Xenopus tropicalis: one gene and its partner. The protein of the gene in region 1 purifies or fractionates together with the protein of each later gene. This does not show direct contact. Links are inferred from orthologs where the notes say so. Each region holds a gene or a part of one and is shown on either strand. Other genes may lie near its edges.

Region 1 (3,822 bases):
AAAGCTGAATAAACTAATAAAAAAAATCATCCTATAACAGTCCCAAGAAAATATAATACAACAACATCAGTAGTTAACTCATCTCAGGCTGAAAATCAGACACTATAAAATGGGATAGGCTGCAAAGTCTCAAAAACTTTGTACTTCATGTACATCAGTTATTTAGTAGATATTGCGGCTATTGACAGCATATAAGAAAATGTATGTTTCTGGTTTGCTGTAACTCAACAGAAAATGTATGTGCCAGCAACAGAACTTAAATACATATAAATACTGAGATGGGAAGCACTGCACTGAGGCACTTACCTTGTCCTCTGGTGCTGGAGAGAATTGTGAATCGACTGCTTCTTGTGGCAGCACCAAAGCAACAGGTTTGCAGTTTGGATTTTTAAACAATTCACTCTCCTGAAAATAGCAACCATTAAAAAGAAATACACTTTGACACACAAACTAATACTTTACAGTAATGACCTCTTCCAACCGCTTTCACATGTTACTTCCTGAGGTCCAAAATTTCTCAATCTCGCTTACATTTTCCTTATTGGACATGCTTCTCTGTCCTCCTGAGGTCTTTTTAAAACTTGGAGTACTACAAAGAAGGCGAGGCTGGGTAAGGCAGAAAATAACATGTTTTGTTTAGTAAGAGGGTCTTAAAATGCATGTATTTATATGATGGTGATACATGAAAAAAAATCACTACAAAAGTGAATTAAATGACTACAGCTCGTGCCAGAAAGAGCAAATGAAAAGAAGAATACATTTCAATGGTTCAAGGATAACTGGCTAACTAGGCACCAGCAGAGAAGACATAAAAGTGCAGAACCTCTACAAAGGCAAATCAAACCAAGAATATATATTGCTTTATTTCATTTAGCAAACTAAAAAAACTATACATGCTCTAACCTTGACAAAATATATAATAATAAAAATGAAGGTTTCGCTGTCCCGCATGTAGTACTTCTGCCAAAAACAAATGTACCCATATAAAGAACCAAACAGCATAGACAAAAATAATTGTCTCTGTCTAAGGAATTACACTATACAAGGCCACTCACCAGAACAGAATTCATGTTTCCTCTCTGACACTTTCTGTGAAAAGAAAAGAAGAGTTATCTATAGATCTACAAATCCATATGAATAAATACGCCTGTAGATATAAGTTACCATGGCAGATAAAGAGCAGGATGAGCAAGTATGTGGCTTGGTGCTCCTCTGCATAATCTATTTCCAGAGAAAGCGGAGTTGTGCCAAGGCAAGCAGTGGTGACACACTTCCACTAATTTAAATCATTTAACCTATTCAGTTTCTTTGTAGGTCCAGGAATAAAGCAAAAACATAAGCAATTGAATTGCAGTACTAACCAGTCATACATCATTGAATTAAAAGGCAGTCTTTGAAAAGAGAAAGAGGGGGATTTTAAGGCACAATATTTGGCAAAAATTAGACCACAGCAAGTTTGCCACACCCATTATGGCAAATCTGAAGGTGGGTCCCTGGGATATCAAAGTTAGGCAACTAAGACTATTGTACCTTAATAGGTCTACCCATCAATGCTAACTCACATCATTCAAGTCAATTTTTGGTACTACACTTCAGATAGAAGAGAAGACTAGACGCTCAATTTCTCCAACATCAAAAGGGGGGGCCACAAAGCAGCCTGGGGGAAGGGGGCAAAGAACTTGTTTATAACGAGGTGCCAAGATATTAAAGGAATAAAACATGTTTTCTGCAAAACGCATCGGTTTTGATGCTTCTCCAGCAAAATCCTGCATTGAAATCAGTTTTCCAAGAATGCAAACAGATTTTCTTTATATTTAACTTGAAAATTTTACATGGGGCTAGCCATATTCTTCATTTCCCTGGTTGCCACAGCCATGTGACTTGTGCTCTGATAAACACTTTACTGCCACGCTGCAAATTGGTGTGGTATCTTCCCCCTCCCAGCGGCCGATCAGCAGAACAATGGGAAGGCAGCAAGATAGCAGCTCCCAGTAGATATCAGAATAGCACTTAAAAGGAAAAGTAACACTAAAAATTTTTTAACTAAAACTATTGATCAAGCCTAGCCTGACTCCTTCCTATACAGAAGGAAGGCTAGATCAATCGATCGCCGCATAGTGGACGCTTCCCCTGATACTTCACCTGCATCGCCGTATCACCTTTCTTCAAATGACCGGAAGCCAACTTTTAACAGGTATTTTGTACTACAGCATTCAAAATAATAAATGGTTTGTGGGATAGGGTAATTATTGGGGCAGGGTAAAATACATTTTTTAGTTAAAAATTTTTAGTGTTACTTTTCCTTTAATAGTAAGAAATCTACACGGGCCGATATCGGTCCCTAGGACCGACTGGGCAGCTTATCTGCCCGTGTAGGGGCAGAAAAGAGCGGCCAGGTTAAAAGTTTCAGTCGGATCGGGGGCCGCATCGGCTCGCTGATGCGGTCCCCGAATCGACTGCCCCATTGCCGCCTACATAATACGGTTGTTTGGCCCCAGGGCCAAACGATCGGATTATTTATTTATTTCTTTTTTTTAACTTCAAGCTCCCCGATATCCCCCACCCGTAGGTGGGGATATCGGGGGAAGATCCGCTCGCTTGGCGATCTCGCCAAGCGAGCGGATCTTACCGTGTATGGGGACCTTAAGTCCAGCTTGGGACTCCTCCAGTTATACTGAGTAGGAGAAACAATAGCTTGTTTAAATAGCTGCCTGAAAGCAGTTCTAATGTAGCGCTGGCTCCTTCTGAAAGATCAGACTCAGACACAATGCACTGAGATGGCGCCTACACACCAATATTGCAACTAAAAAAAAAAAAAAATACACTTTAAATTGTACAGGGAATTATTTTCTATGTAAACAGTGTAATCCCTTCAAGCAAACTTTTACCACCATCAACCATCTTACACCCACAACTCCACAAAGGTAAAATACAATAATTAAAACAAGTTTACAAGAATTATAAAAAAAAAAAAAAAAAGCTGCTAAACTAAAATAACAAAAATTTATTTTTTACACTTACTTGGCTTTGCATCCTAGATCTGGCGTAAATCTGCACAAAATTGAAGCAAAATAAATACTTTCAAATTGCAGTTTGATGCCTCCCTGTGGAGCCAGTTCTATATGCCAGCTAAATTAATAGATTGGCTTTGAAGGGACGGAGCATATTTCACAAGTACAACATTCTCTGACCACTGAAAGCCCCATGCCAAATAATTTCATATTGGAGGTCAGAGTGAATACTCATAGCAGAAATAAATATATTTTGTTACCTTTAAATTAACTTTTAGTGTAGTGTAGACATTGATATTCTCAGAAAATCTGCAACTGGTCTTATTTTTTTTTTTTTTTGTGGTTTTGCAGTTATTTAGCTTTTTGTTAAACAGCTCTCCAGTTTAGGATTTCAGCAGCTGGTTTCTAAGGTCTTTTTTTCCTTAGCAACCAGTCATTTGAATGAGAACATTAAAATAGGAAGATAAGGGATAAAAAGTAATAATAAAACTGTAGCTTCGCAGAGCAACTTTGGCTGCTGGGGTTAGTAACTTCCATGGAAAGCTAGAAAGATGAAGAAGAGGAAGGCAAATAATTCATAAAATAACAAAAACTTTAAAAATGAAGACCGATTGCAACATTGCTAGGAATGGAATTCTATAACATACTAAAAGTTAACTTAAAGATGACCCACCCTTTTAAAGCCTATTTTCCTCTGGCAGACAGCTCCTGAATTTTTGTACCAAGACACTGGGTTATGTCTGCATTTAAAAAAAAAAAGTGCTTTTTTTTTTTGTTGACAATCATGGTGACCTCTATCATTAAAGGTGCT
Region 2 (3,822 bases), on another chromosome or scaffold:
AGCGGACAGTACCACAAGGTAAGGCAAAAGTTTGAATGTAATTAGGATAATTAAAATACCCCAGTGCTTATACCTTTACTTCTCCTTTAAGAATGTCAGTGTTCAAGCACTGCTATAAATATATAAACCAGCTTCTCAATAGGAATGGCATAAAACTGCAATAATCATTACCATAAGGCAGGAATTCTTAACCTATGGGTCATGACCAAGAATGGGTCCCTGTGCTGTGTATTATGGGGCTCCATTATCTACTTTATTACACAAGACAATATCAATTAAAAAAGGCAATATGGAGTGAATATTATACCAACTCTAGGGTCCAAAGGGTGCCTCCCAGATTTAATCTGGGTCCAGCCATAATGACTGCTATGTAAGGGACTGACAACAGCACAACTACAGTTACAAAACTGTAAATAGCAACTTTTTTTTCCAGTCATGGAACAACTTTCCCCACCCATCTGGCTAAATGAAGTAAAATAGGCACTGTGCAACTTGCCCCACTGGGTACACAAAGGCAACTGGCATAAGATGATTTGGAGGCCAATGCCAAACATACGAATATGTTTTGGAAGCAGCTTATCAGGACTCATCCATATAGAATCTGAGACAACATTAATGATCAGACCCAACCCAATGTAATACATGTCTTGTCAAATTAGACAAGGTCATGCTAGTCCAAGGGAGTCTAAATGAAAAGACTCAGTAGTCAACTGAAGCCAAACACACATGAAACTGGCTGCTAAAAATATAAAATGGGGCTGAAATGTCATGTACACTCCAGCCTTCTCTGGGGGCAGAGATTGTGCAGTAATTGCTTTCCTTTGGCTTGGTTTCCAGCAGGGATGAAGCTGAGCTGCTGAATTTGGGGAAAGTCCACTGTGACGTCCCTGTATCTAACAGAAATGTTGGTGTTACTCCACCTTTAGTTGAGGGGGTTATCAAACACTGTGTTGGGTAGAATTGAGATTTTCAGCTTTTTTTCTGGCCAGCTGTATTCCTTCGGTAGTTTCATCTAGGAAAGAAAAGATGACTTTACTTAAAATACAGATTATCTGATTATTTACAATTTTAAACCCTCCTAATTGTCCTATTAATTTATCCATGCTTTAACTAAGTAAGCTTTATCACAAAGGTCTATGTAAATACAGCCATAAACACTTACAGTAATGCTGCACTAAGTCCTCTATTAAAAGAAACACAGGGTTACTGGTCTCTTTTTTTTGTAAACATTATGTTCCAGTGTCTGGCTTCCTCTCTCAAAAACATCCTTATTTCCCGGGGCAAGAGTCTGCGCAGTTCTCTCCTCTCTCCCGCTCCCCCCTTGTACCAGAATGCTAAGAACTCCTTCCCCCCTCCCTTAGGAATGTGTGATCTCAGCTATAACGGCTAGAGACTGCAGTCAGACAGATGAATATTTTGCAACAAAAGTTTGTTATATGGTTTTACATGGGAAAATAAACATTGAAAATTAGCCCAATTACAACAATGTTTCAAGTAAAGTAAATAGTTCCATACTGATACAAAAACAATAACCAAGTCATCTGTTAAAATATGTTAATATTTAATTTTTGCACACGGGCCTATGACTGCTTACTTCCTCTAGAGAGCTTAAATCTTCTAAGTCTTCCAGCATTTTGTCAACTAACTCCTCTGTCAAGAGAATCTGAAAAGACAGAAAGACAGTTTTAGGTTCTTGACAGATACAATCCAAGGCTGTACATCTACAAACTACATATCCAAGTTATCTTCTGATCAAGAAAGTGAGATGATTGGTACCTGTTGACTAGAATTTGGAAAACATTAAAAACATTTAAAAACATTTGTGTTCATTCATAAAGCAGTGTCTGCCGACAGGTAATCTGTTAAACCTCATCTACAGTTTATAGCAAACTGGTTGCTTAATGTGAGTCAAGTTAATGTCCAAACACACCCAATTATTTTGAGAATTCTGACCTTGACTGCAATATGCAGAGCACAGAGGTCCCTGCTTGGGTTGCTACTCTGAAGAATTTAAGGGCTCTGGCACACGGGGAGATTAGTCGCCCGCGGCAAAACTCCCTGTTCGCGGGCGACTAATCTCCCCGAGTTGCCTTCCCCCTGCCATCCCACCGGCGACTTTGCCGCGGGCGACTAATCTCCCCGTGTGCCAGAGCCCTAAAGGGGTGGCTCACATTCAGACTAACTTTTAGTATGTTGTACAATAGCCTATTCTTAGCAACTTTTCAGTTGGAGTTCATTTGTTGTAGTTTTTAAATTATTTGCCACCTTCTTCTTCTTCTGACTCAGCTTTTAAATATGGCAGCCAAAAAGCTATTGTTCTGTGAGGCTACAATTTTATTGTTATTGTTATTTTTTATTATTTAACTTTCTATTCAGGCCCGCGTCTATTTATATTCAGTCTCTCATTCAAACCAAACAAGCCTGGTTGCTTGGTTAAATTGCACTGTAGCAACTGGATAGCTGCTGAAATTCCAAATTGGAAATCTGCTGAACAAAAAGCTGAATAATTCCACAACAGCAAATAAAAAACCTAGACCAATGGCAAATTGCCTCAGAATAGCACATTATACTCACAATTAATTTAAAGGTGAACTACCCCTTTAATGTAAATTCACATCTACTCTGACCCAATCCATGTTAGTGGGCTAGATTATAATGAGATCATATAAAGCCATCTGGGAGCAGACCTCCAGCCCAAGGTTTCTATAATCAAACAGTCCTGTTTTATAGTATAAAAGATGTTCAAGCCTTCAGATTTCTATGCTCGAAAGCCATCACCTAGCATCAAAGGGGGGTTAGAAGTTATTGCTTCTGACTTTTGCATCCAGTGACTAACAATACAGACTGCTGCATTTTTACTGTTTCCATTAAGGACTAAAATGACAACGTATCAATTAAAAACAGATGTTTGCCATTCATCTGAAGATGGACTTATTCTTTTCACAAATAACTTTTCTGAGAAATCTGCAGGAGTCCACTTGACAATTCATAGTGATATCAATTCTTAGCCTTAGGCTTTCAGATGGCGGAGTTTCATAAAACTGGATTCTGACAGGCTCTGATTCTATTTAAATGAATCTCCTTTGCACATATAGCCTATAGGACATCAAAGATCTAGATCTTTTTTTATCGAAGATGCCAGTTTTTAGGCCTATGGCACACAGGGTAGTTTTAGCTTTGCGATAGTAAGTCCTAAATCACCCACCTACTGCTACTGCAAACTTAAAATACACCCCGAGTGCCTTAAAACTTACACTACACATGAAGATTTGTCTTCTATTTTTTTTTTTTTTTCTTTCCCTATGGGCAATTTTCTGCTTTCCTATTACCCAAACGTTAAATAAATAAATGTCACCTGTAGCCAGGGTCCATGTGCTGCATATGGATGCTCCTCTGTAGCAAAGGCTCCTTCTACTCCAGTAGACACAAATGTGATTGCTGTATCTCCAGTAATGCTTTTATATGTAAAGTGCCTTCCGTGCAAGAGCCTACCTCTGATTCAAAAAGAACAACATTGAGGTAAGAAAAATGTTTAGAAAATTTCCCAGAGCAAACTTTTCTTGTCCCACTTTCTATGACAACCCTATATATAATGTACTAGAAATGATGCATCAGTTTATATATTTTGTCTACTGTATGTGCATTGTGCTGAACACAGAGCAGTGGAGGAAATTACTCTGGTGTCAAATGCAAAAGGCAACAACAGCCACACAACAGAAAATCAATGTACAGAGAGAGTTGTACAGCCATTGTGCAATTTCTCTACTCTGTAGAAGATTACAAATATAGGTATGGAACCTGTTATCCAAAATGCTTGGGACC

Evidence for each region.
Region 2: the proteins of cdc25c (region 1) and sufu purify together in Homo sapiens (affinity purification with mass spectrometry; 4 studies listed by BioGRID and IntAct, counting the BioPlex papers as one, with this or other methods). This does not show direct contact. The link is inferred for Xenopus tropicalis from reciprocal best matches to the Homo sapiens genes CDC25C and SUFU.

The regions. Positions count from the first base shown.
Region 1 is NC_030679.2:47,996,544-48,000,365, forward strand, and holds part of cdc25c (M-phase inducer phosphatase 3), read right to left. Parts: intron 3,052-3,822; coding exon 3,022-3,051; intron 1,090-3,021; coding exon 1,056-1,089; intron 607-1,055; coding exon 532-606; intron 406-531; coding exon 307-405; intron 1-306. UniProt on the Homo sapiens protein: Functions as a dosage-dependent inducer in mitotic control. Tyrosine protein phosphatase required for progression of the cell cycle. When phosphorylated, highly effective in activating G2 cells into prophase.
Region 2 is NC_030683.2:29,282,456-29,286,277, forward strand, and holds part of sufu (suppressor of fused homolog), read right to left. Parts: intron 3,495-3,822; coding exon 3,356-3,494; intron 1,664-3,355; coding exon 1,595-1,663; intron 1,013-1,594; coding exon 923-1,012; 3' UTR 1-922. UniProt on the Homo sapiens protein: Negative regulator in the hedgehog/smoothened signaling pathway. Down-regulates GLI1-mediated transactivation of target genes. Down-regulates GLI2-mediated transactivation of target genes. Part of a corepressor complex that acts on DNA-bound GLI1.